Ovis aries: one gene and its partners. The protein of the gene in region 2 purifies or fractionates together with the protein of the main gene of each other region. This does not show direct contact. Links are inferred from orthologs where the notes say so. Each region holds a gene or a part of one and is shown on either strand. Other genes may lie near its edges. The genes, in order: RAB9A, GDI1, RAB7A, RAB6B, RAB6A, RAB10 and RAB24.

Evidence for each region.
Region 1: the proteins of GDI1 (region 2) and RAB9A purify together in Homo sapiens (affinity purification with mass spectrometry; 3 studies listed by BioGRID and IntAct, counting the BioPlex papers as one, with this or other methods). This does not show direct contact. The link is inferred for Ovis aries from reciprocal best matches to the Homo sapiens genes GDI1 and RAB9A.
Region 3: the proteins of GDI1 (region 2) and RAB7A purify together in Homo sapiens (affinity purification with mass spectrometry; 4 studies listed by BioGRID and IntAct, counting the BioPlex papers as one, with this or other methods). This does not show direct contact. The link is inferred for Ovis aries from reciprocal best matches to the Homo sapiens genes GDI1 and RAB7A.
Region 4: the proteins of GDI1 (region 2) and RAB6B purify together in Homo sapiens (co-immunoprecipitation; 3 studies listed by BioGRID and IntAct, counting the BioPlex papers as one, with this or other methods). This does not show direct contact. The link is inferred for Ovis aries from reciprocal best matches to the Homo sapiens genes GDI1 and RAB6B.
Region 5: the proteins of GDI1 (region 2) and RAB6A purify together in Homo sapiens (affinity purification with mass spectrometry; 3 studies listed by BioGRID and IntAct, counting the BioPlex papers as one, with this or other methods). This does not show direct contact. The link is inferred for Ovis aries from reciprocal best matches to the Homo sapiens genes GDI1 and RAB6A.
Region 6: the proteins of GDI1 (region 2) and RAB10 purify together in Homo sapiens (co-immunoprecipitation; 4 studies listed by BioGRID and IntAct, counting the BioPlex papers as one, with this or other methods). This does not show direct contact. The link is inferred for Ovis aries from reciprocal best matches to the Homo sapiens genes GDI1 and RAB10.
Region 7: the proteins of GDI1 (region 2) and RAB24 purify together in Homo sapiens (affinity purification with mass spectrometry; 3 studies listed by BioGRID and IntAct, counting the BioPlex papers as one, with this or other methods). This does not show direct contact. The link is inferred for Ovis aries from reciprocal best matches to the Homo sapiens genes GDI1 and RAB24.

The regions. Positions count from the first base shown.
Region 1 is NC_056080.1:11,842,921-11,845,482, reverse strand, and holds RAB9A (ras-related protein Rab-9A), read right to left. Parts: upstream 1,136-2,562; coding exon 524-1,135; downstream 1-523. UniProt on the Homo sapiens protein: The small GTPases Rab are key regulators of intracellular membrane trafficking, from the formation of transport vesicles to their fusion with membranes.
Region 2 is NC_056080.1:80,001,179-80,005,480, forward strand, and holds the start of GDI1 (rab GDP dissociation inhibitor alpha), read right to left. Parts: upstream 2,807-4,302; coding exon 2,762-2,806; intron 1,690-2,761; coding exon 1,582-1,689; intron 1,414-1,581; coding exon 1,314-1,413; intron 1,166-1,313; coding exon 1,031-1,165; intron 584-1,030; coding exon 385-583; intron 120-384; coding exon 1-119. Other genes in the region: ATP6AP1 (V-type proton ATPase subunit S1), read right to left, coding at 4,219-4,302. UniProt on the Homo sapiens protein: Regulates the GDP/GTP exchange reaction of most Rab proteins by inhibiting the dissociation of GDP from them, and the subsequent binding of GTP to them. Promotes the dissociation of GDP-bound Rab proteins from the membrane and inhibits their activation.
Region 3 is NC_056072.1:59,086,952-59,090,986, reverse strand, and holds the start of RAB7A (ras-related protein Rab-7a), read left to right. Parts: upstream 1-1,221; coding exon 1,222-1,274; intron 1,275-3,368; coding exon 3,369-3,495; intron 3,496-4,035.
Region 4 is NC_056054.1:256,161,417-256,164,939, reverse strand, and holds part of RAB6B (ras-related protein Rab-6B), read right to left. Parts: intron 3,487-3,523; coding exon 3,393-3,486; intron 585-3,392; coding exon 518-584; intron 1-517. UniProt on the Homo sapiens protein: The small GTPases Rab are key regulators of intracellular membrane trafficking, from the formation of transport vesicles to their fusion with membranes. Rabs cycle between active GTP-bound and inactive GDP-bound states.
Region 5 is NC_056068.1:51,877,318-51,881,313, forward strand, and holds the end of RAB6A (ras-related protein Rab-6A), read right to left. Parts: intron 3,868-3,996; coding exon 3,801-3,867; intron 2,798-3,800; coding exon 2,733-2,797; 3' UTR 523-2,732; downstream 1-522. UniProt on the Homo sapiens protein: The small GTPases Rab are key regulators of intracellular membrane trafficking, from the formation of transport vesicles to their fusion with membranes.
Region 6 is NC_056056.1:33,317,350-33,321,572, reverse strand, and holds the start of RAB10 (ras-related protein Rab-10), read right to left. Parts: upstream 2,815-4,223; 5' UTR 1-2,814. UniProt on the Homo sapiens protein: The small GTPases Rab are key regulators of intracellular membrane trafficking, from the formation of transport vesicles to their fusion with membranes.
Region 7 is NC_056058.1:36,477,127-36,481,187, reverse strand, and holds the start of RAB24 (ras-related protein Rab-24), read left to right. Parts: upstream 1-1,245; 5' UTR 1,246-1,653; coding exon 1,654-1,770; intron 1,771-1,853; coding exon 1,854-1,922; intron 1,923-2,129; coding exon 2,130-2,208; intron 2,209-2,315; coding exon 2,316-2,383; intron 2,384-2,472; coding exon 2,473-2,572; intron 2,573-2,770; coding exon 2,771-2,821; intron 2,822-2,959; coding exon 2,960-3,022; intron 3,023-3,124; coding exon 3,125-3,189; 3' UTR 3,190-4,061. Other genes in the region: PRELID1 (PRELI domain-containing protein 1, mitochondrial), read right to left, coding at 51-276, 862-953.

The DNA of each region.
Region 1 (2,562 bases), about 68 Mb from region 2:
ATGACAAGTGATTACTAGTGAGATCAATTCTGATACGCAGAGTGAAAAAATGAACATAAAGAGAAAGAAGTAGTAATCAAATAACCACAGTGCAAATGCATTCAATTTTGATCTTTAATAGTTAACATTATTGCTTTAGGACATGCTTTCCCTGAACCAGAACAGAATGCTAATTACATAAAAATATACACATAGAAAAAGTAGTTCTCCATATTCCCAGGGAAAAGACAGTAACTTCTAGGATACTCAAGTGTTTTAATTATAAAGTCTTGGTCATTTCATTTATTAGCTCTGTAACATACATATTTAAATTAAACATTATTAGACAGCCGTTACAATGGGTGCGTGTCAGGCGCCGTTACTGAGTAAATGGATTCTCTCGTGAGGGGATGTGTCGCTTCCCCCACCCACTGACAGGCACGGTTAATGTTTGAGTATGTGATGCGTCGCTGCACACGCGTACCCTCTTCTCCGCCCAGAGCCCATCTGTGCATGTGGGTGAGCTGGTCAGGTCGCTACCTCTCTAACTTCCACAGCAAGATGAGCTGGGCTTGGGCTTCCGGTGCAGACGGACCGTGTCTGTCTGAATCAAGGGATCTGACCTATCCTCGGTAGCGAGCACTCTTCGAACTGCTTCCTCAAAGGCTGCTGCGACATTCGTGGCATCTTTTGCACTCGTTTCAAAGTAGGGATAGTCACCGTTGTCCCGGCACCAGGCTTGGGCTTCTTCTGCAGACACTTGCCGCTCGCTGATGTCAACCTTGTTGCCCAGAATCACAAAAGGAAAGCTTTCGGGCTCTTTCACATCTGCGTAATATATGAATTCTTTCTTCCAGTTACTCAAGTTCTGGAAGCTCTGAGAATCATCGACACTAAAGGTAAGCAGGCAACAGTCAGAACCTCTGTAGAACGGCGTCCTCAGGCTTCTGAAGCGCTCTTGACCAGCCGTGTCCCAGATCTGCATGGTGACAAAGTGTCCATCCACCTCCAAATCTTTATTTAAAAACTCCACACCTATTGTATGGAAGAGCTGGGCATCAAACTTATTAGTCACATATCTGTTCATTAGAGAACTCTTCCCAACACCACCATCTCCAAGGAGAATGACTTTGAAAAGCGATGATTTTCCTGCCATTATTAATCTCAAGATCTCTGACTGTGGAACCCTGTAAAACAGAAGAGTACCATTACATTCCTTTAGACCTGTACCTAGTTCCACGTGCCTCTCTGAACATCAGTGCTAAGGGAAAGAAAACGCAGGGAATACGTGACAGCCAGAGATGTCAGCTACTGAGCTCTGCACCTCGCGCCAGGCTCCATCCTACCGTCACTCCCGACGACCACTGCTGAGGGCTCGTTCTTCCCCTTCCTCTGGTTACCCTTGACTGAGGCTGGCAGTCAAAGCCGAGTCTAACCCCCAAACCATCCTCTCAGCTCACAACAAGCCCTGCCACCATTTGTTAGAGAGGCACCAGGAGACCGAAGAGGGCACATTTCCAGAGCAACTGCAAATTGCCCTCTGGTGGCATGGTTCACTGATGGCTTTCCTCTCAGGCCAGGGGGCTTCTAGCCAATCCTCTCTGTCTCTCTCCCAACACTATCACCATAGGAGCTGCCAAGCAGGGAACAGGGGACAGAGTTCACTGATCTGGCTGTGAACAGACCAAAGCCAACCACTTGAGTAAAGGACTCTGTTCTCTTCACTGAGGACACTTTTTTGTATTGGCTAACATTAATGTCAGCACCAATGGAATTTTTATCATAATATAGTAACCTAGCACATTCTACCCACAAGATTCGTTTGGGCAGCTCCAACACTTCTGAACAAATGCGAGCCTGGGCTGTTTGTTACTTGTATTTCGAAGGGGGATGCAATGAACCTTAAACCAAAATGTGGTATGGTGCCCATGCTTTGAGGGGAAGCCCTGGGAAGGACTAGACTGCCCCGTGCACCAGTGAGGAGGGCAAGGGTGGGGTGGGGTGGCATATGAAGACTCAGCCACCTATTTACAGCCTGGTGGGAGCGTTGTTTGTATTTAAGGCTTCTATTTTAACTCTTTATTATGGAAAATGTCAAACATACACAATTTTGGAATAATGAGAATAATATAATGATACCACACAGGCCCTAAACCTAGTTTCACCAATTATCAACTTACAGCAAATCCTGTTTCCTCCATAGTGTTCCATTTTCCCTTCTCCCAAATTATTCTGAATCAAATTATAGCATGTAGTCTGTAAATATTTCAGTATAAAATGGCTTTTTAAGATATTAAAATTTCTGGAAGCAGACAATTTTTAGTACCGTCTAACAGTACTTTCTGCAACGAAGGAGGCACCCTCCATGTGGACTGTCTGATATGACAGCCACTAGCCACATGTGGCTATTGAGCACTGAACTTGTGCCTGGTGGGAGAAAGGAAATGAATTTTAAATTTTATATAGTCTTAACTAATTTGAATAGTCACATTTAAAGAGCAAACAGCTGTATTGGATAGCACAGCCCTACAGCAAAAATGGCAATTAATTTTCCCATGAAAGTAGATAATATGAATCCCTCAA
Region 2 (4,302 bases):
GGGGCAGCTCGCCAAGGCCATAGAGTGGGTACAGATACGGGCTCTTTCCATACCGAGCCAGGGATTCGCTGTACAACTTGATGCGGTTGATGGTCTCGAGACATGGCTGGTCCAGGTAGCTGGGAGAAATAGGGTCAGAAGAGGCTCCAAGAGCAGAAGGCCCAGTGCACCCCCACCCTGGCATCAGGCCAGCCTTCCCACCCTTGCAGGCCTGGGAAAGACCATTGGTCAAACACAAGGAAGGGACAGAAAAGGCGACAGGTGAGTGAGCCCGGAGCTGAGTATGGGAGGTAGGCAGGGTGAGCCAAGGGAGCAGCAGGCAGGAGTGGGAGGGCAGGGTGTGGGCCGGCTGAAGGGTCATCTGCCATGCCAGTTTCCCCTCACTCATCAGTGCGGTAGAGCGCTAGGGCATGGCCAGTGAAGTCAATGACATCCTGCCCCAAGTCGAACTTCCGGTAGACGTCACGCATGCTGGTGTTCTGGGGGTCGACACCCTCAAAGGTCTTGGGGTCGTTCTCATCAAAGTTTGCCACGAACACCAGGAACTTGCGGAAGCGCCGTTTCTCAAACATGCCCATCAGGTCTGTGAGGGCCACATGCAAAGCACCACTGAGGTACGGGCCGTGACCCTCTCCACCTGCCAGGCAGGCAGAGCAAGCCGGTGCCCTAACTCCCAGCAGAGTTCTCTTGCTGACCACTGTGTGATTTTCAATTAACCCCTCTGTGCTCATTGGCCTGTTTTCTCAACTGTACCAAGAGTGAGTCTGGCTGGACAGCCTCTGAGAGCATTCCCAGCTCTGACACTTGGGGATGTTTCACTGATCAGGTGAAGCCTCTGTCCAGGACACCATATTCCCTTCGCACTTGGACACCTCTCCTGGCAACCAGTGGGTGCACACAGGGGGATGATAGAGCAAGGGGCTTTTGGTACTGCACAAGAAACATGGCCTGCAGCAAGGGCCATCCTGCTCTTGATAGCTATCCCCCCTTCCCCCACCCCGATTCCCTGGCTCATGGGACCCACACTCACTGGAAGCCAAGGCTTCAGTCTCGGTAGATGGTACTTTGTAGATCTTGCCCCCCTTGTAGACAAAGCTGCCCTCCACCACCTTGAAGTCCAGGTAGCGTGTCACCTCTGTATACAGTAGCATCTTCACAAGCTGCCCTGCAGGGCGGTGTGGGAAAGGCAACACAGTCAGCATGGCTCCCTTCACAAGCTCAAGCTGGTCTGTCTGTCCCTGGTCTGCAGTCTGACCCTTCTCTGCTCGTCCCAATCACCCCGCCTCCCACAATACCTCCTCCGTCTCCCTCACCATTGGCCATGAGGAATTTGGGGATCAAGTCAACGTTCCAGTCTCGGCCCCGGCCCATTGTCTCAGGGGGCCCCTCCAGCAACTGAAAACGCTTATACAGCTGCAGGCAGCAGAAGGGAAAAGAGAGACAGAAAGATGCATCTCAAGGAACCCCCTCCCACTCCCGCCCCTGCCCCCGCCCCCCACCCAGAAAACCTGGGGAGCTGCTTCATTCAGCACCCCATGCAAGAGGTTAACGAGGGACAGGCCTGGGCCCAGAGCAGCCTACCTCCTCCAGGGGGGTGATGGAGGAGCTCTCACCCCCATAGTAGGGGTTCCGGTCCATGTGCAGCACCTTCTTCCCGTTCACAGACATGATACCCGACAGGATACATTCCTGAGTGAGGGGCAATGTTCACTGCACTCCCATCTGCCCACATTCCCACAAGCAGCCCTGACCATGTTCCCCACTCCAACCCTGAGGGGAGAGTCAACCTGAAGGGCCTCTGCCTCAACACACAGCTCCTTGCACCTGTGGCTGGTCGCTCTGCCTGAAATTGGGGGGGGGGGGGGACACCTTCATTTGACCATGGTTTCCTTTTAAAACCTTGCTGGGCAAAAAGGTGAACAAGGAAGAGGGTATCCAGCAGACACATGGATGGTCTTCAAGCAACCAAGATGCCAAGAAAATCATCTATCGACGTAGAAGCCCACAAAAAGGCAAATAAAACACAGGGATCGCCTAGCTGGACAAGCAAAGGACCCGAAAAGGAAGTAAAGGCTTAGCATGGTGCCGAAATCCCAGGCCCCACCCTGGGCCACTTTCCTCAAAGAGGAACCCCTGACCCTGAGCTTTCCCCGTCACAGTAGGGGCTTCCACACCCGACTGTTGGGGAGGCATCTCTCAGGGCAGCAGTCCAACAGGGTTCGGGGGAGGGCAAACAACCTCACCAGTCACTGTCACCAGCCCAAGGACAAAGGCTGCAAATGCGCCTCAGCCCCGAGGTCTCCATGGGAAACCGGGGTGGGGTAGTGGGAATGTGGTCACGGTCCCCACCACGGCTCCTTCTGGAACATTCCCTGGGTCCTCGGGCCCCCTAAGAACCTGGGAAGGCAGGATGAAAGCCCACCCTGGGAAGTCCCCCCGCCCCGATCTGACTGGAGGTCCCTGTACCACGACATCCCCGTCAGAATGAGCGCAAAATGAGAAGGGATGTTAAGTTGGTCCTGGGTAGGGGCTGGGGGTCGGGCCCGGGGAATCGGTCAAGAGAGACAGCCAGAAAAGGGGCCGCTTCTTGGCAGACCGGCCATGACAGGGATGGAGGCCGCGTCACGGTGGTTGGGGACGGGGCTATCTTTTCGGGGACCGAACAGCGCCGCGCAGGCACTGATGGGAGGATGGGGCCGGGGGCTGCAGCATCCCAGGGAGGAGGACAGGCGGCGCCCTGGACACCGGCGGCCGCACTTACGGTGAGTCCGGTTCCCAGCACGATCACATCGTATTCCTCGTCCATGGTCAGGCCTCGGTGTCAGCGCCCGTCGGCTCCTCCTCCTCCGCCACAGCCGCCGCCGCCGCCGCAGCCGCCGCCGCCGCCGCAGTGGACCAAAGATGGCGGCTCAACCGTGCCGCTCAACCCCTCCGCCACGTCAAAGAGTCCCGGCCCCTCCCCTCCGCCGCCGCGCCGACCGGGGGCCCCTGCTGTCCCCGCTTGCCTCCCGGGGAGGGTTGCTGGAGCCCGGGCTCTAGCACTCGCGCCACTCGGCGGGCCGCGCCGCTTTGCCGAGGGCCTAGAAAAGAGGGCGGTGAGGCGGGGCGGGGCGGGGCGGGGCGGGGCGGGGCGGGGCGGCGCGGCCTGGCAGACGGTGCTGAGGTCCGCCAGGGATCCGTGCGCAGGAGCCGCGCGCGCCCCGCCCCGGGAAGCTCGGCGCGGCCCCGCCGGCTGGGCGCGCGCTGCTGCAGCAGCCCGAGGCGGGCCCCTAGGGACGTGGGGGCGACTATTGTCGTGGCCGTCTCCCCCGCCTCCCTCTCCCGGGCGCTGACGGCCCCCGCCCTCCCCTAGTCGCTGAGGCGGGGGCCGGGGGAAACCCAGCTAGCAAACAACCCTCTCGGCCTCCGCTTGGTCCCTGGAAAAGCAGCCTCCATCCCTCCATCCTCGGGCCTCCTCTCTCGGCCGTCAGCCAAGTGCATCCTCCCTTCCTTGTGCCCAGCGCAGAAATGAGTGACAAGAAGCCCAAGCATGGCGACCCGTCTTTATTTTATTCGGAAGGAAACCACGAGCACCCCAGGGCTCCTGCCAGGTACTCCCGACAGGAACAGGTCCCAAACCCCGTGATCACACCCATCCCACCTGCCATGTAGATCCCTTCCTTCTTAGGCCAAAGGAATAAACCCCAGTGTACGTCTTATTGTTAGCACATCACCAAAAAATAAAATAATAACGCCAGCTAAGCGGGACAGACAAATAGTACTTCCACACTCCCCCCCAAACTCAGGGAATGGAACAGCTCCTGGCTGCTACAAGGAACCCCATAGAGCCTGGGAAGAGAGGACTGGCTACACAAAAGCACTATCAACAGCAAGCAGCGAAGGTGGAGAAATCAGAATAAATAAGGAGAAGGGGGGTGGATTTTGTAGAACTGATGGCCCCTACCTTTATAATGATCAAGCCTGGGAGATCTGTCTACTGTCTATGCAGAAATATATACACCTTGTGGAGAGAGATGTGGTGGGGAGTGGGCAGCCTAGGGAAGACCCTCAGCAGGCTGAACAGGTAGCCTGACAAGCTAGGGGGAGCCAGGGAGTCGTGCAATGGCGGAAGAGGGAGAAGCCTTCCTGCCCAGTGGGCCTCTGATGGGAAGGTGACAACCTGGACCTCAGGCACGCCCTCAATCCCCCCCCCCATCCCCCGCCCCTACAGGTGTGGAATCACACGATCTGGGTCAAAGTGATGGTGGGGCCCTTGTGGTCGTCGAAGCGGTCCATTGTCTTGAGGCTGAGGATCATGTGCAG
Region 3 (4,035 bases), on a different chromosome or scaffold from region 2:
GCAGCTTTTCTCAGGCCCCACCTGGAGCATCTTTCAGCTCAGACTGGAAGAACACCAGGCTCTCCTGAGCCCACGCCCTCCCCGCTCGGTCCTGTGTAAGCCCCGAGGTCCCCGCTCTGCTGATTATGGGAGGCGGACGCCACCCCTGCTGGTTCCTGGTCGTCTCCACCCAGCCTCCTGAGGAGGGGCCAGGGCTGGGGGTCCCCGGAAGGCATGGGGTCCTTGCTGAGGACGCTGCTGCCTCTGGAGGCGGCGGCAGCCCCAGCCCTCCCGTGGGGTCAGCACCGAGGGGTGCTCCTCGCGGTCCTCACGTGCGGTCCTGACACCGGCCTAGGCTCAGGACTGCTGCCCTCCTGCCACCGCTCTCCCCCTGAAGGCCTCTGAGGCACTCCTGAGGACCACAAGGCCTGTGCCCGTAGGAAAGTGATCCGGGGTCAGGCTGAGTCAGGGGGTTGAACACCAGCAGGGCCTCTTCATGCTGTCTGGTCCAGGCTCCAGAAGACTTCCTGAAGGGCTTCCTGGGGAAAGACGGTCTCAAGCTGCAAAGTCAAACGCTGTTGCTGCACAGGCTCTTCCCCAGGGTGGAGCTCGGCTCTGGGTGCGGTGGTCGCAACTCCCGGGTTGTGGCTCAGGGCTCAGTTGCTCCACCGCACGTGGCATCTTCCTGGGCCAGGAATGGAAACTGTGCCCCCACCATTGGCCGGCGGATTCCTAATCCCTGGCCCACCAGGGATGCCCGTGAGAGTGTTTTAAAGAACGCAGACTGCACAGCCCACGTGGTCGAGCCGCAGAGGCAGGAGCGCGGGGGCCGAGGGCCAGCTGTGAGGTTGTCCGCTGTCTCCAGCTGCGTGCAGGGTCCGTGCTCTGAAGACGGCCAGGCGGCATCAGGGGTAGACAGTGGTGGGGAGAGGCGGGCTGCTCCACAGTGGACAAAGGGCTTGCGCCGAGGAGGCCTGCGTGAGCAGCGCTCAGGCTCACCCACGCTGCCCCGGCGTCCCGGCGGTCGCGCCTCCTGCAGGCTCCTCTGGTGCCTCTGGCGCGCTCCTGGCCCGGGTCCCATGCTGAGCCTGAGCTCCGTCCAGGCCCCGGGTGCAGCGGGGAGCCGGCCGGAAGGCTGGGGCGTGGAGCTCCCGGGCCTCGTCTGTGCGTGTGCCGAGAGAGGGGTTCCCCTCAGCAGTTCCGTGCCGCTCATGTGCCTTCTCCTTCCTTCCAGCTTGAAGGATGACCTCGAGGAAGAAAGTGCTGCTGAAGGTGATCATCCTGGGAGACTCTGGGTGAGTGTCCCCGCACGTGAGCGGACACCCTGGTGGCGCTCTAGCGCTGCTCTCCGTGGGGCCGGCTCTCCCTGCTGCGGGGCCGGGTCTCCCTGGCATGGGGCCCTTTGTCCCGTTTGGAGAAAATGGTGGCTGTTAGAACTCAGTGATAATTTCATTCGGCTCCTCTTTCCTACCTGGTGAGAGGAGGGAGGAGAGTTTTCATGGAGGTTTGCTGCTGTGGGCAGCATGCCGTGCCCACGCTGGAGGTTTGGGGCATACTTGGTGGCGCAGGCAGAGCTCCGAGACGCTGCAGGCACTTACAGACCACCTCCGCGGCGTCAGCATCGCAGGGAAGTGAGCCGCGGGAGCTCTCTGGCTTCTGCGGGCACGGAACAGTCACGATCGCACCGTGCGGTCGCCGCTTGGTGTGCAGTGACCATGTGTCTGAAGAGCATCGTACACACCGCAGTTCAAAGACGACTTACTGCCGGAAAACGCCACCCGCCCACTGACCCCTGCGTGAGTCTTCATGTTTTTGCAGTAGTGACATCAGAGATCACTGGTCACAGATCAGAGCAGAGTGATGACGGGAGAGTTGTAACCACTGCACGATTTATCAAAATGGGACACAGACGTGAAGGGAGCAGACGTCGTTGGAAAAGTGACTAGCTTGACACGGGGCCGCCACCGACGTGCGGTCTGCAAAGAGAGAAAACGAGGCGGAAGGCACTCTGCGGAGCGCCTGCAAGGGAGGCGCGCCTGCACCCGCCTCCGGCTGGGCCTGGGTCTCCCCTGGCCAGGTAACTGACTAGCTCTGTGGTCACTGGGAAGACTCGGGGTGCAGGTGAGGTTTTCAGACTTGGCATCTGAAGTGACCCTTGAAAGCTCAGACCGGAGGCGACGTGCTTTTGAAAATCATGTAATGATGCAAGTGTGCCTAAAAGGCAGTGGTTTTCCTGCCCTGGCTGGCTTCCTTAATCCGCTGAGAAGCCTTTTAAAAGCGCGCGTCCACCACAAGCCGCAGGCCCGCGCTGGCTGCATCCGCGCATCCACATACACGCCCCGCCCATCTCTGCTCTCCCTGGCCCGCCTCCCGCGCGCGCCTCTCGGTTCCTCTGCTGCACTGTCAGGATTGAAAGTGCTGCTTTTCGGCCCATTTCCTGGACTTGCCTGAAGACAGACTTCCTGTTGTCTTCCGCTGGAGATTCGGGCCCAGATGGCCGGGTGGGGAACACTGCCCTGGGCTGTCCTCCCAGGTCCTCTGTGGGTGAAGCGAGTGTTTGCCTTTGTGGAAAGGAAGGTGTTACCAGCCTGTCCTGCTGCCCTGTCACCCGAAGAGTCACCCCGGTCTCTTGCTGAGTTCTCTTACTGAAACACCCCTCTGGGGAGCCTGCTTTGGTGGATTCCAATTTGGCGGATTATTGGTGCTTTTTCTGTTTCAGATTCTAAACTTGGTTTGGGCTTCCCTCACAGCTCAGTCGGTAAAGAGTCTGCCTGCAATGCAGGAGACCCGGGTTCAGTTCCTGGGTCGGGAAGATCCCCTGGAGAAGGAAATGGCTATCCACTCTAGTAATTCTTGCCTGGAAAGTGCCACGGACAGAGGAGCTTGTCGGGCTACAGTCCACGGGGTTGCAAGAGTCGGACACGACTTAGCGACTAAACCAACAGCAGCAGGCTGGCTGGCTGGCATGAATGTCTGCTGGGAGCCAGTGGGCGCCTCTGCCGCTACTCTCTTGGACTGAAGAACCACCACTAAACGGAGAGACCCAAGATGGCAGAGACACTTCGGGACAAGTGCAGGGATCTTACTGCTGGAGCTTCTTTTAGAAGGAGAGCATTTGCCAGCCCCCTTTTGGAAGGAGAGAAATGGAAACACTCGGCTCTACCAGCTGTACCAGAGCTCAGGAGTGCTTCTCTGGACCTGACCCCCGCCGGTAGCCCACGTCCGTCCCTGGTGGGCGCGCATCGCCACTGGGTGAACTGGAGGCTTCCCCCGCACTGGGAGGGGCGGGCCTTGTTCTCCTGCGAGACAGACAGTCCTTCCAGATGGCACGCGTCAGAGTCGGTGTGCGATGCCGACCGGCCTGACTTGTGGTTTTTCTCCCATTTCAGAGTCGGGAAGACCTCGCTCATGAACCAGTACGTGAACAAGAAGTTCAGTAACCAGTACAAAGCCACGATAGGCGCGGACTTCCTGACGAAGGAGGTGATGGTGGACGACAGGCTCGTGACCATGCAGGTGAGCGCCGCCGCGCTGCGCCGCCCCGCCTCTGTCCTGGCGCCGCCCTCCCCGTCAGACCTCGCGGCCTGCCAGACGCAGCACGGGACACCGGGGCGGGGGGGGGGGGGGCGTCCTCAGTACCGCGAGGCACACCAGCAGTTTCCCTTTTTTTCCCAAAGTTCGAGTTTAACTGGCCTCCCTGGGTTTTGCTGTTGTGGTTCAGTTTTCTGCTGTAAAGTTGGCAGCTTCCGGTTCCTGTCTTGTGTCTCCAAAACGTCCAAGTCGTCCCTTCCCCAGCACCCTTGCCTGTGCTGAGGCTGAAGAATCCTTGCCTCTCTCCTGGGCTCTTGCGGCGGCCATTCTAGTGGTCTTCTTGGCTTCTAGTCTTGTGCGCTTCACGGCCCTGTAAGTTGTGTTTCTGTTCAGCCAGCCTGGCTTCTTCATGTAGCAGCTTAATCTGATTTCAGGGGCTTCCCTTTCAACACTTGGGAAAAACACAGTTCCTTCACTTGGCTCCTTAAGAGGCTTCACGTTCTGGGGCTTCCCTGGAGGTCCAGT
Region 4 (3,523 bases), on a different chromosome or scaffold from region 2:
GTTTCAGCCTCTGAGTGTGGCCCAAGGTCTGGAGTGGACTGGGTGAGTGGTGTGCAGACCCTGTCCCCGGGGCAGTGGGGAGGCCCCAGGCTGTGCCGGGCTGGGTTGAGGAGGCAGTTGTCTCATGTAGAGGAGGCTGAACCATGCTGAGATCATGTCTGAATGTACGGAAGTGGAGATTCTGCTTGTCCACGTGAAACACAAATCTGTGTTCACTAGAAAGAAGGGCAGTTACTATCTCTCACTCCCTGCCCCACGCTGTCACTCCACACACAACCCTCTGGCACCCCTACTCTGTTCTGGAAGCTTGTTTAGTTCAAGCTGGACGGGGTCTTGAAGACCTTGGAGTTCAGCCTCATTCCTGTACATATGAGCCTCCACAGCACAGCTGCCCATCAGGAAAGCTGGCCTGGGGACCAGGCAAGGGTTTGTCCACTGTTCTAATACATCATGTGATAAATCCATGAATAAATGACTTCTGCAGCATCTTTCACTCACTTGTCAAAGAAAAGGATACTCCCTTCTTTGCTTTTCTCCTGGACATTCTCCATTCCAGGCAGAGCCGAGGCCACACGTCGGAAGAGCTAGGGAGAGGGGAGGTGCAGCATGAGCCCCATCCTTCCCCCTCTGCTCCCGGCATGCCCACCTTCTGCCTCTTCTCACTGACCTCAGGCTCTACTCCTGTCCTGTCCCGCTGACTGCATCCTGGACAGCAGAGACTGCACCCAACTTCTCCCTCCCACCCCCTAGCACCCCTCACGGCACTGGGCCCCAGCAGGCCTCTCACCCAGGCAGTCTGGCCTCAGGGTCTCGGGGGCTGAGTGTGGGTCATGGTGATGGCCAGGGATCCACCCTCAGGCAGAAAATGATCTAGGCCCTGGGGAGCTTCTGTCCCAACGCCCACCTGGGGGCCAGGTGTGGGGAAGTGGCTTTCAACCTGCCCTTATGACAATGACCCTCTCTTCAGGGAGTCTTGCGAGTGCACAGCATCGAGGCAGCTGGCTTCTAGGAGCCAGGGCCACAGTCAGAGTGGAGGAGACTTTTCAGAGGGAATAAGGACGTGGGAGTGTGAGTGTGATATTGCTTGGGCATGGGCGAGTGTGACTGCGTGTACTGTGTGTAGAGGAGTGTGTGTGGTGTGGATGTGGATGTGCGGCATCTGTGTGTGTATGTGGGGGGGTGCGTTTGTGCGACGTGTATGTGCACATGCGGGGTTTCTGTGCCTGTGTGTTTGTAAGTATGCATGGAGAGCTGTGTGGTGTGTGTCTGAGTGCATGTGCTCACTGGGGCAGGGGTGGGCAGGGTGTCAGGGGGCGGTGGCAGGACCTAGGGGGATGGAACCTAGGGGGATGACAGCAAGTACAAGGCAGAAGATTCTGAATGCTCTCCCCATCTCTTGACAAACACCAACTGCGGAAACTAGGTGGGCTCTGAACTAGGAACTGCCTGAGCTCTCTGAAGACAGGTTGAGGCTCATTCATGGTCTCAAGGCAGAGCCCAGTCACGTGGGACCACCCAGGCTGGGTGACAGGACCAAACATGGTGAGGGTGAGGGCCCCCAAGTGGGGAAGATGCTGGTGGGTGGGGTGCAGAGAGGGGTAGGAGCGGGTGCAGAAGTCCAGTCACTCACTGAGCCTTCCTCCATAACCATGCTCCAGGCAGCCCCACTCCGCCTGTCTGGCTGTCAAAATAGTCACAGCCTCTGTCGGTGGCCAAGCTGCCAATCAAACAGAAGCTCTAAGGGTCACATAGGGGCCTCTGAGAGCAGACAGGCTCACATTCAGAGTCCAGGAGCCTGCACCGCACAGAGACTCCTCTGAACCATCTGGGGTTGAACTGACTATACACAACTCTTGCTCAGACCATTGCCTGGCTTCCAGAAAGGGGGCAGTGGAAAGAGGGCATCAGCATCTCTGTCCGCTGAGGGCAGAGGCCACCTGCCCTCTGGACCACTGACCTCTGCTTCCCTGCCCTCCAGGCCTTTCCATCAGGACCACACTGAGCCACAACCTGGTGTCTCCTGTAGGCCTCCAGGGACCGGGGAGGCTGGCAAGGGGGCATGAGTGAACAGAGCAATGCTGAGGCCCTCCAACTGGGGCGGGGGCATCCCCTGGGTCTGGGAGCTCATTCTGTCCGTCCCACTCCTCTGCCACTTCCCACTGGCACAGCACTGCCCAGGTGGGGTAAACCCTCAAACCCTCATTGCGTGTGGCCAGCTGCTGCATGGCAGCTTGTCTAGCGCTCTTGGACACTGCTGGGGCTGGCAGGGCAGAAGTGACCCTGGCAAGGCCCCAAAGCCCCTCCAGCCCCACCTGTGCCCATGCCAGTCCCCTGCCCGGGCAGCCCCCTCCTCATCAGCTATCCAAGTCCTCTTTTCCTTGAAGACACGGGATCCTCACCTTTTCTGAACCAAAAACTGGTCCTTTGGCAGGCTAGTGAAGGCTATGGCCTCCTTTCAAGCATGTGAAATGAATGGTCCACTGTCCATAGAATTCTCCAGGCAAGAATAATGGAGTGGGTAGCCATTCCTTTCTCCAGGGGATCTTCCCAACCCAGGGATTGAACCTGGGTCTCCTGCATTGCAGGCAGATTCTTTACCATCTGAACCACCAGGAAAGCCCAAGTTTCATGTAAAGGAAACCATTTAGTATTGAAATAAATTTCTAAACTCTTTAAAGATACAGACCCTTGACATAGCAACACCTGTGCTTCCTCAGGAATGTGTTAAAGAGCCGGAGCCGGCAGAGGACCCCCTGAGATACTGAGCGGGGAAACGCTCAAGAGACTTGAGACACCAATAAAGCCAGGGGAGCTACTAACACACGGAGTCCTGTTGCTACGCTCATGGCCACAGAAAATGCTGCTGATCTGTCAGGGGGTGGTGCAGAGACAGGTGCAGTCGTTTCCACCCAAGTCCACTGACCTGCTGAACGCCATCTGTGAGAAGTCTCTTGCTCCGAGGCTCAGCCCTAACCCCACCCCTTCTATGGCTCCTCTGAGGAGTCTGACTCTGCAGGCCCCCTCCTGTAAGCTCTAACCGCACTGAGGATGGGCTCTTTTCCCCAAGTCTACCTGGCCCAACGCAGCCCCAGGCACTTGTCAAGCACAATGCAGGAACCCCAAAATGCTGAGTGGATGGACTCTCCTGCATGGCCATCCCGAGTGAGGGAACAGGTAGGAAAGAGCTGCTTCTCGGCTGCCTGGAAGCTGAGGGCTGGACACCCACGGTAGCTCAGGGGCTGCGGGGCTGGCTGCTGGGTGAGCACCCCAATACCCTGAGGGTGAGCAGTTAGCTCTGGAGGGACTCACTCCCCATCAGGTGAGCCACCTGGTCACTAGCCCCTGGCACCAGAAGCCCAGTATGGGCCCCTGGTCAAGGCGGCAGCTCCCACCTGCTTCACGTTGTAGCCAGTCTTCGCACTGGTCTCGATGAACATGACGCTCAGTTCTTTGGCACGCTGCTCGCCCTCCTCTATGGTTATCTGCCTGGAGGGGAGATGAGGGGAACCAGTTTTCAGTAGAG
Region 5 (3,996 bases), on a different chromosome or scaffold from region 2:
CTGTAATCTAGGTTGGGGCCTCCATTTCTATAGTAATGGGGCTAGTTGTGGTTTGCCCTAAGGCAGGGATCAGCCCCTTTTTCTGTAAAAGATAATAAATATTTTTGGCTTTGGGGGCCATAAAGTCGGTTACAACTACTCAACCCAGTCTTTGTAGGCGAGTATGGCTGAGGTCTAACAAAATTTAATTTAAAAACAGGTTGCAGGCTGGATTTGGTGGAAGGGTAGTTAGTCACTCCTGTCTCAAAGCAAAAGTGGAGTTAAGAGTGAGATGGCATAAGCAAAACTTAAACTGCTTTCCTTGAAACATCTTATTATTGCCTCCACCAGTGACCCTATCTTTCAAGTTGCAGCCACTTTCCCTCACTCTCAACTGCTGAAGAGAGTCTTCTGATTCCCCTGAGGTTTCTCAGTTTTGTTGTTACTTATCTGGATTCCATATTCCCTTTATAGTTCTTGGGAGGAAGTAAGTAGCACATGGTAATTCATTACTTTGGCAGGAATGGGAAACCAAGTCAATAATTGTTTTCTTTTGTGTTTATTTATACATTTTTTTGGCAGCAAAACTTTATTAAACAGAAAATCTGCACTATGAACACACTTCACTGCTTCTGTTGAAGATCCCCAAGCCAAATAAAAAGACCAATATTAAAAGCAGCATAACTGGTTACTGCCTTAAAGATACATCAAATGCTACAGTGTAGGAAGACAATCATCCCCATATCAGAAATCACAACTTCTTCCAAATAAAGAATATGACCGACCCATCTGCCATATTGAATTGATATTTATTTCAGGACATGCCATGTCAAGATAAAACAAAAGAGTCAACCCTTGCCTTTAACAATAATATTGTATTATAAAAGCACTTTACAACTCCATCCCATCTTTGAGTACAAGTTACTGGGGTATGTGGGCTAATGATTATCTGAAAGCATTTCTCTATTCAGACCCATAATCCAAGTGCTCTCTGAATATTATAAGGTGATATAGTAAGTGGGAAGTGGAGGAGGAAGAGGAAAGAGAGGGGAATAAGGTTCTCCCAGTTAAGGGCTTTGTTGCAATGAGGGGATGAGGAAGTATGAAGATATTTTTGCTGTCTTTTCATCCTTATACTGTGTTAAGTAATGCTTACAACATAAATTCAGCAGGCTTTTCCTGAGCTATAACTCAGAAATTTACTTCCTGCAAACAATGTATTTACAAATATGTTTATTAACTTACACAGCAATCTCACAATAACTAGTAAAGATTAAAATGGTGCACTCCTAGTATATTTGTTTGCAGTGTTTTAAGGGAAATACATATTGCCATTGTGATGAAGCTCTAAAGACTGAATAAAATATCTAAAAATTAATAGTTAAAAAGGCAAAGAAATAAATATCAAAGAAAAAAGATTAATTATAGCTTAAATATAAAACTGAATCACTAATTAACCAAACTATACAGATCTAATAAAAAGCAAAACCAGGTTGAGAGAACCAACATAAAAAAAAATGCTGAAAAATAAGGCATAAATCTGCATAATGTTAAGTTTTATTTTCATTCTCTCTTTTCCCTCTTCTATGTATGCTTGTTCAGATCTGCCTCTAAGGGCTTATAAGAAAACTTTCCATCTTTAATTTGATCTCAAATGTCCTGGGCAAAGCATTTGCTATTCTGCTGAAGAGTCTACAGTTGGTACGCTTTAGATATCATTGTTTCCACTTGTTACAGTAGTTTTGATCAAGATGCCAAATTTAAATTCTTACACTGGTTCTTCTTAAAGGAATTTGATTTCTACAGTGACTTGCCTGCATAGCATTTTTAAAAAAAGAAACAAAGGAAGAAATAAACTCAAGAGAAATCTATTGCTTAAAAAAGTCTTCTTTTTCAATCAGAACTCTATTTTGACAATTTTAAAATCTTGGGAGAATTAGCTCTTAGAAGAATTAAATATTTAAAACTTGTTCTGAAGCACTTTTACTTTTCTCTCCCAGAGTCTAACATGTGCAAGGATCATTTGTTTTGGTCAGAAATATATTTTATGTTCATTTACTTATAAGTATTGGTCATTGGGACTCATTCTGAAGACACATCAGAAACCCTTTCCTTATTCCAGCACTGCCTTCCATGATAGCTGAGCTTTGACCTCAATTAAGGTCTAAGTAATTTATATCAGTGCTCAAGAATAATTTTGGATATCTTGGCTGAAGGCCTAGAGCAAGTGGTATCGCTAAAATACAAGGTAAATCCAGTGGGCTTGGTCTGACTTGGTCTGGCTTTGCCTCCTCTTGTTAGTTGAGGGAGGGTGGGTAGGACTAGGAGATGGGGTAAAGGAAAAGTGAGTACAGCAGGGAGAGATCAAGTAAGTCGGCATAGGCAAGTACTCCTATGAATAACTATTCTGTAACCAAGCCACATACTGTTGAGAGTTCCATCATTTTGAAGTACATTCTCGTAACATTAAAAATGAAAAACAATGTTAAGAAAATGTATCTAATTTTTAAAGTTATCACTGGAATATGCTGGAATCATTTGGCTTTTTGTAAAATATAAATAATGAAGACACTGACTTTTTTGTGCTTGTGAAGCTAATAGATCATCTCCACGATACAGGCAGCAATGATGAATTGCAATACGTTATTACTGAAGGGAAAAGGTTCAAGCCAATATTCACACTGCAGTCAATGAAAGAGTAAGGGGGCCAAAGCAGTGAGCTTCTGGAGCAAAGTTGAAGATGCCATGGGGGATTAGCAGGAACAGCCTCCTTCGCTGACTGGCTGCTCCTGAGGCTTTTCCAGTTTTATGTCAATCACTGAAACAAAAGTTAAGGAACCATAAACAGAGAAGTACAATTCCAATTCTCCTGGACACCAACGATTCTCCCATTCCTATTTGGCTTCAGAGCCTACTCATCCATTATTTCCTATATAGCTAGTCCACCACATGAAGTACTCATATGAAATAAATGTGCTTTTATCTCCTATATGCCGCAAGTTTCCGAACAAGGTTAATTCCTATTCATCAGAATCTATCCTAAGGTAATTATTCTACAGGAATAAGAAACCATACAAAGATGATGTTCCTTAAGGAATTATCTGTAACAAAAATCTGAAAACAGCCTACGAGAGTTCCAACAATAGGGACAGAATTTAACAAACAACTGGGCTTCAACTCGGTAGAACACATCACACTATTAATAAAGGCTTAGAAAACACATAACATTTAGAAATGGGAAGAGCTGACTATAAAGTGCTATGAATTCCATGGCTTTTAATAAAAATGTCTGCATATAGAAAAACACTAGAAGATAAATATGTGACAAATAAGGAAAATATAAAAACTCTTTTAAATAAATAATTTATATGTGCTTTGTTCTGTCCCCATTTCTGAAAGCAGAGGCAGTGATAAAGCTCTAGACTGAGTTATCTCCTGCCTATTCCAAGTAGAAAGCTCAAATGTTAGAAAACACAGGGGAAGAAAGTAAGATATATACTGTGGTGAAAAAGCCCAGAGTCAAGAGGAGTCAAAATTAAGCAGCAGCAGGGTGGGATGCTAAGAGTTTCCTGCTCATTAAAAACCAAGCAGGGAAAACAAACAAACACCCTGTCACTGATTAACTGTAGTGAGCAGCAGGCTGCAAAGAGTGCACTTGGATAACCAGACTGCATTTACTATAGAAAAACTCAGAGCTTTTTTGCTCCCAAACCATCAATTCTTAGCTCTAAAAGGCAATGGCATAATATTCCTAAGTCAACAAAGTTGGGCTTTAAAGGCCTATGTTAACAACAAATTTTCTTATGAAACAAAAAGGATACTGTCTTCTCTGCTTCTGTCCTGTGTGCTTTCCATTCCAGGTAGAGCTGCTGCAACACGTCGGAAGAGCTATGGGGAAAAAAAAGACATGATAATTGGGAGGGGAAATTCAGCAAATGACATCAAGTAAAGACCACTGGATGGCTGAGCTAAAGGATATGGCTTCTCGGTTATTCCTTAGACCTTAGCACAATTAAA
Region 6 (4,223 bases), on a different chromosome or scaffold from region 2:
CAAAACAAACAAAAACTTAGCCAACTGATGAAATTTAAAATGCCCTAAAAGTAGTACGTATTTTAAGTATCTCTAATCATCTGCATATTCGCCAACTGGCCAGTTTATACTGTTTAGACATGCACTGTCCCAATGTGCCTAATCTGAGATGAACTGTAAAGATAACATACATACACACTGGAGAAAAGTATAAAATGTCTCAACTATTTTTAAGTTTTGATTATATAATAAAATGAGAAGACTTCAGGATAAAATGAGCTAAAAGACTATTAAATACTTCTTTTCCTTTTTAAATGTGGCTACTAAAAAATCTTATGTGACTCACATTATGTTTCTTTTGGATAACACTGATGTAAGACACCAGGAGATGTCTAAACATGCATATAGAGCTAATATATGCCACATGTTGGAGCTGCACTCAGAATTTTACATCCATATATTCTGTTCAACCTGTCTTAGATATCAAAATATCACACACATCAAATATTTTTATATCAAAATATGAACATTCCAGAGTGTAAAGTGATATGTTTAGCAGAGCACTAACCAATATTTGCATGACCACTGCATACAGAGCATTCAATCCATAAAGTAACTTGTTCTGCCCCACTATAGCACATGGGGCATGTGTCCATGTATAACTGATATGCATGCACTGTGCTCCTACAGTGTGCCTGGCGGCACTTTGCTCTCATAAAATTCTCACAACTACCTTCTGTGATGGGTACTATTATTTACAATATTTAAAGAAACTGAAGTAGGAGAAAAGGTTAATTAACTTGTCAAACTGCCGCCAGTAACCTGTGGAACTAGGATTCCAACCCAGCAGGTGAGATCCCAAATCACCACACACTCTCACTACTACAGGAGGGAATTCCCTGGAGCTCCATGCTTTCACTGCTGAGGGCAACGGTTCAAACCCTGGTCTGGGAACTAAGGTCCCACAAAACTACATAAGATTGTGTCATTATCTTACAGGACTGGGTTTTAGTTGTGAGTACAATAAACAACACTGCACCCATTACAAAAGGCCAAGAGTAGATGGGAGTTAATCCTTTGCTTCCTACTTTCCACTCTACCTTTCTCAACCACAGGTTAAAGCTAACCAACGTGGATTAAATCTCTGATCTTACTACAGGTTTAGTCTACACTAAAGGGAGTCTACACTCCCTTTCCCACCCCTCTAGTTCAATTTCTACTTGTCCTTCAGACTTCATTTCAGACATCATCTCCATGCAAGCCTAATTTAGACTAAGCACCCCTCTCCCTGTGCCAACCCCACTGCAGCACTGTCCACACTCTTGTGCTTCCTCTCTAGACTGCTCCTGCCATGTTCACCACTTATCTATCTATCCCGAAAACAGTGCCTAGCGTTAGGTGCTCAATAAATATTTGCTGAAGGATCTAACCACCTGATCCACCCAGCTACAGCTAAAAGTGGAATCTTAAAAGTAAAGTTAGTGGTAGGAAGTGCTAACCCACAGGCAGAGAACAAGTTCTAAGTCTCATGAAATTTACAACAGGTCTAGAGAGCAGCATGACATTCATGAAACAAGAATTACAAAGACGCCCTCTCCCCAAAACAAGTAAAATCAAAATCTAGTCAAAACGATCTAATGCCAAATTTCAGTATTATCTGTTTTATGAGAATGAACTAAGTAACTGACACTTATCACAAGAAATCCAAGTCATCGATTCCAAATGCTATAAATTGAGATCAGCTTAAATTCGACACTTCCCAGAGTTCAAAGAAAACTATGCTAGTTTTTTATAATCATTTCAGTATAAAACTAATTACACTTAAAATGGATTTTATTGCACTTGCCCCAATGCTGTGTACTGGTCGCCAAGTGACAGAGACAACCTCGTGTTAAGATATTTATCTTGTGAGGGAAAAAAAAGGATCGCACATCCAACCCAATTTAACACAATTCGTGTAAATGACACTTAATTTTCTCCGTAGAGTTGAAAGGGACTTTCCTAGAGTCTTCCCTTTTCTTTTCCTAAACAAGAAACCGATTTAAAAGGTCAATCTTTAGCTCTTACTTTCATACTAAATAATTCTGAAACATGAGGTGAAAAGTACATTAAAAGTCCCAAGGCTATGACTTGCAAGACACTTCCCTGTAAGATGCTAGTGTAAAACAGGAGGGGAAAACTTCATTTTTTCAGGTTCGAGGACAGAAACTGACCATCTCCATCAGATTACTGCTTCTGCTGATGTCTCGAAAAGCACTGTGTGCAAACATGCCGGAGTCCCACCCCAAGCACTAAGAGCCTCCGATTGTTTGACACATCAATGGATTAGTCAACGCGGGGCAACTCACTTTTCCCTTCTAATTTACTTTAATTATTCCTTACACAAACCCTCAAGCTTACTCTAAGTTACGACCATATGGAATCTCTTTGCCCTGAAGTATAAATTCAGGTCTTTACCAAATGACCCCTACTGCTTCAACTCCAACCATCAAAATAATCCCTTACAAGTATCGTACATCTAGTAACGCCACACAAACATGGAAAAAGCCAACCCTGACGCTTAAAGAAACAGGATTCTGGAACGCTGCTAATGCTGCATATTTTGTAACAGCAGGCACTGAGCAGAGTGGGAGACTTGAGAGCAAAAGACCGGATGGAAAGCAGGGGAAGACCCCGCCCCAGAAAGCTCAATGCCGATTCAAACAGTAACTTGGTCTGTCGCTTGGAATCGGGATCACTGAAACAAAGGCGTATATTACGGGAAGCAAGATGTCTGGAGCAAAAGGAACGGTTTGCAGCTGCAGAGATCGCACACCATCCTCCCACAGGTCTTACCTATGGTGGAAATAAAGGTGGTGTTGAAGGCATCATCCGAAAAACGAAAAAGGACGCAGGTCTTCCCCACTCCCGAGTCCCCGATCAGGAGCAGCTTGAAAAGCAGGTCGTACGTCTTCTTCGCCATTGGGAGGAGCGGCTCAGGCTCTCGCCGCCGGCGGCCCCAAGGGATCGGTCCCTCTCACTACGGCCAACTCCTCCTCGCTCGGGCGTTCTCAGGCCGGAGGACCGGGGGGAACCGTGGGAAAAAGGACGGCTCGAGAGGGCGCGGGTGACCTAGGAACTGCCTCGTCGAGGAAGCCCCGACGGTGGCGGCGTCCGGTGCCTCCGAGGGCGGCGACCGCTGCTCCGCAGCCTCTCCCAGCCGCTCCGCCCGGTTCCGGGGAGTCGGTCGGGACAAAATGGCCTCCCCTCCCCCCTCAGGGTTGCTCGGCCGGGACGCTCCGACGGGCGAGCGAGCAGGCTCGGCCGTCGAGGGAGCGCGGTAGGCGTGAGGACGGCCTCTCTTTCCGAAGCAGCAGCTCAACGCTAGGACGCGGCGAAGTCAGCGAAGGAGGACCCGGAGCTGACGAGCTCAGCTACATAGCCACAGGAAAGCGAGCCGCCCCGGCCAGAGCCACCTTTTCCCCGTGCCCTCTCACGCCGGCGTGCGCGCTGCCTGAGACGCACGCAAGGACGTACGCCCGCCCTCCCCTCGCGCCCTCGTCCTGCGGTCCGCCCCTGCGCACGCGCGCCAGGGGGAGTGCGGGACCGCTCGGGGCGGAGAGTGGAGCTCGCTCTGGGTCTCCCAACCTCAGTTTAAGGCCCGGCGGAGATGAGAGAGGGGTGGGGCGAGAGAGGGCGAGGCCGCGGGCGCGCTCCCTGCGGCCGCCTGATAGGGTGCGGCGGCCTGACGAGCACGCCCCGCGGGGAGGCGCTGTATAGTGACTGCGCAGGCGCGGCATGTCGGCGTTACCCCGCCCCCCTCTCCGCCTTGACACCCCGGATTTTCTTCTTCCGGTTGCTCTCCGACTTCGCTGAGGATGTTTCGGGTCGCGTTTGACAAGCGTATGGAGCTGAGGGTGTTGGCGCAGCCACGGCCTTGGGTGGCCGTGTGTTTCCTGTGCAGCTGTAGCTTGTAAATGCGAGGAAAGTAGTACCCTGGGTCATTTAATAGCCTCTTCGCCAAAATGAGATTCGTCCTGGAGTGTCCTCCCTCTTGTTGGGGGAAACATAACAGCTCCAACCTGGTTTGCTTAAGGAACAAGAATTGGCATTCAAGAGAGCGGGAGTTTGAAATGGGAGAAATCTGGCCACGCTGCTCAGGTTGAGATGATGTAATCTGAGTTCCAGGGAGGGGAGAAAGAATACCGAGGAACACCTGGGCGCTGGGGAGACCTCCCCGCCAAATGGCAGCGCAGGTGTGTTCT
Region 7 (4,061 bases), on a different chromosome or scaffold from region 2:
CATGTATCCAGAGCGCTCTAGTTCCGGGGGGGACGTGAGAGGGGTCTCACCATCAGCCGGGCGTGGTTGATGTTCCAGGTGAAGGTGGTCATGGTCTGGTTTTGTGGGTCCACAATAGAATCCTCCAGGATGTACACTGAGTGAGCAACATTGGCAGGAAACAGTCGCTCAGCCCAGCGGGGCATCCTGTTCGTCTTGGTCAGGAGTCGGCGGGACAGGAGCTTCTGGTCAGAGGTCACCTCTCGGTGCACTATGTCTTCCGTCAAGACATGCTTGCTGCAGGTGTCAGGGTGAAGGTGACCCTCAGGAGCCTGACCCTGGGAGACTGCCTGCTGAGGTTCCCATCTGGAGCCTCCACGCTCAGAATGGCCAGGCCTTTTCCCAAACTTTCAGAGTAAGCTGTGGTTGTGGCTCAGACCTGAACTGGAGCCTTTGAGCCTCTCCCAGGGCAAATTCCAACTCCCGCCCCCTCGCTGACCTGGATTCCTGGGCATTCCAGCAGGGGTGGACCTCCTGATTTACTGCACCACTGGAGAGCAGTCAAGGGCAGAGAAGCAGGCAAGCGCCCAGACTTCCAACCCCAAGATCCCTCCCCAATTCCTGTGCTGCTTCCTCTTCCTGTCTCACCACACTGAGATGAGAGAACCTTAAGACTAGGGCTTCAAGTAATCCACTGCCCAGGCCCAGCCTCCTTCCAGTACCCTGTAGGCCTAGTCTGGCCGCTTACCCGATAGGGTTCTTCTGCCCTAAACATGGCCAGGCTCTGGAGATCCCCCGACTCAAAGTCGAGTCTTTCCCGGCCCCCAGACTCCGATCTCCAAAGAGCGAGGTAGGAGGGTTGCTCTTCCCAGGGCCACGTACCTATAGGGATTCGGGTACCGCTGCCAGAAGGCAGCGAACACTTGGTCCCAGGAACTCCGGAGCACGCTCTGGCCCAGGAAATACTTCACCATCGTCCCGGCCGGGGCGGGCTCAGCGCCCGAGCAGCATCAGGGGTGCGGAGCCCGAGGGGCACGCGGAGGCCGGGCTGGAGCTCGACGCTCAGCCGCCAGGCTAGCAGCAGGTCAGTCGCTACAGCGCCGCACCCGACCAGCCACCGCCGCCGCCGCCGCCATGAGGAATTATCGGGCCGCGCGCCACTTCCGGCTCAGCAGTGAAGTACCCACCTCTTCCGGTGCCTGCCCACGTGACCCGACGACCCCGCCCCCACACTCTCCTTCCCCCTACACCCCTCTCCCCTTCCCCGGCCCCGCCACCGCTGGAGTCGCGGCGCTGCGGGCCGGAGCTGGGTTGGAGGATCCCCCTGGCTCGGTGGGGAATCTGTGCCGGCGCGGCCTCTAAGCTAGGTGGGCGAGCGAGCGGCAGAGCGAGCTAGCAAGTCGGGCGGCGGCGTGCGGCGCCGTTAAGGGCGCTGCCCCGCGCGCTCCCAGGCCGCCCCGGGTCCCAGGCTCTTAGGAGGAGAATTCCTGGGCCCGAAAAGCGGGGGCGGACGGAGGCGTTGTCATCGCTCAAGCTCGTTGCGGCGTGTGGAACCTTAGGTTGGCGCCTGGGGTCGGGGACTGAGGTTAAGGGCGCTGCCTGTCGGAGCGGAGATCCGGGTTTGCCTCGCGCCCCCGCTCAGGACCCTGACGCGGGTGAGGCGGCCCCGGGAGCATGAGCGGGCAGCGCGTGGACGTCAAGGTGGTGATGTTGGGCAAGGAGTACGTGGGCAAGACGAGCCTGGTGGAGCGATACGTGCACGACCGCTTCCTAGTGGGGCCTTATCAGAATGTGAGTGCTCCCGACGGGGCCCAGCACGGGTGGGAGGGGGCTAGCCGACACGCGAGGCTCTGATCGCTTCCCCTTGGTTGCAGACCATTGGGGCCGCCTTCGTAGCCAAGGTGATGTCTGTCGGAGACCGGACGGTGACTTTGGGTATTTGGGTAAGTTCTCTGGGCACGTAATCTGGGAAAACCCACTCTTGAGGAGGCGTAGTTCCTGCCTTGTACTGACTTGTGGGCTCACGGGGGTTTCTGTTCTCTAGACCCCAGTTTAAAAACAGGGGTCTGGAGGACGTGATATTAGTTTGAAGTCGTGGGGAGTATACCTTCGTAACTCAGGCCAGGGCTGAGCCTCCCCCTGCCCTTCAGGACACAGCAGGCTCTGAGCGCTATGAGGCCATGAGCCGAATCTACTATCGGGGCGCCAAGGCTGCCATCGTCTGCTATGGTAAGAAGAGTTTTGGCCTGTTGCTCAGACAAGAAGGGGAGGGTGCCAGGCTGGCCTTATAGAACAGCCCCTCACCCTTGGTTGTGTTTCCTGTGTTCCACACCAAGACCTGACAGACAGCAGCAGCTTTGAACGGGCAAAGTTCTGGGTGAAGGAACTGCGCAACCTAGAGGAGGTAGGTGGCCTGACCTCACCAGAAAACCAGGCAGGGGCTGGCGGTCTGGTGGTCCAAGGGAAGTGACCCTGACCTGTCTTCTGCTCCAGGGCTGTCAGATCTACTTGTGTGGCACCAAGAGTGACCTGCTGGAGGAGGACAGGCGGCGGCGACGAGTGGACTTCCACGACGTTCAGGACTATGCAGACAGTAGCTGCTCCTTAGCTCCTTGGGTTGGGGAAGGAAGGGGCTGCTTGGGTGGGTCACAGAAAATAGGGGCTGCCTTGGCAAGATCCCCCACAGGAAGACTTTCTCTGGCCTCCCTGCATCTTTCAGAAGAGTCCCTGTACGGCTAGTCTGTGCCCACCTAATTCTCAGGTATGAGGCTTTAGTCTTTTCTCTTTACAGATATCAAAGCTCAGCTCTTTGAAACATCCAGCAAGACAGGCCAGAGTGTGGGTGAGTGCTGTCCTTGGCCTCACAGCAGAACACACAGGGGCAACAAAGGAGGCAGAGGAAAGCCCAGAGGGCTGGGTTACTATGGGATCCCTGGGCTCCTAGCATCTGGTCCTCACTAATCACCCTTTTTCCTGCCAGACGAGCTCTTCCAGAAAGTGGCCGAGGATTACGTCAGTGTGGCCGCCTTCCAGGTGATGACAGGTGTGTCCTTCCTTAGCTCCTGTGGAGACTCCCTTCAGGCCCACAGCACCTGACCCCCACCCCCCGGAAAGTATGTTGAGCTACCACCTCTCTCTTTAACAGAGGACAAGGGCGTGGACCTGGGCCAGAAGGCAAACCCCTACTTCTACAGCTGCTGTCATCACTGAGTCACCACTCACTTGGCCTGGGGGGGGATTCCCCCAGGGAGTCTGGACCTAGCTCTTGTCTGGGCTTGGATGATCAAACATCTGAGCTACCTGGGTCCCAGTGGCAGCAGAGGTGGCACCTGCCTGTGCTGGCCCATGGAGCGGAGACAGCATTGGGGCTGACTGATGGGCACAAAGAGGGTAAGGGCTGATTTGGACCCCAGGCTTCTGCCCTGGACAGCAGTTGTGTCTACAGATTATTTAAATGGCTTCTGATTTGTAAATAAAATCAATGCACTGTGAATTACACTCAACCCCTTTCCCTGCTGTCTGGATTGGGTGTCAGGACACCTAGGACTTTCTGGGGCCACCTGGTTGGCCTCACTTCCTATAATCAGTGTTCTTCTCAGGTCTTATTTTCCTTTGGAAACCAAGTGGCTTCACCCTAGGGTTGCAGCTGAGATAATGGAGAAGCAAAAGGGCCCTTGCTGGGTTCTTTGGTGGGGGCAGAGATAGGGTGAAAAGCTGGGGTTGGGGCAGTGCAAAGCTCAAATGGTTCCTTCTTGGTGTTAAGAACTGGAAAGGCACTCAGGTGGTACCAGAGATCAAAAGGTCAAGCATTTCTGCCTCGGACTGGCTGGCTCTACTGCACCTCTGTCACGTCTAGGTCTGTGAGTCATCCCTGTGGCTCAGAGCCTAAGCTTCCCAGCAGCATTCTATAATGTGGCTTAATAGTAGACAAATTACAGGTTCTGCAAGACTTAGAAAGGTCTTAGAGATCCAGATTGGGCTCTAACTACCCAGAAAAGGGACTCAAACTTGGCTGTGTTCTCCTTTTAAAATGAGGTGACTAGTACCTAGTTCAAGACTATGAAGAGTATGGTTGGAATGTT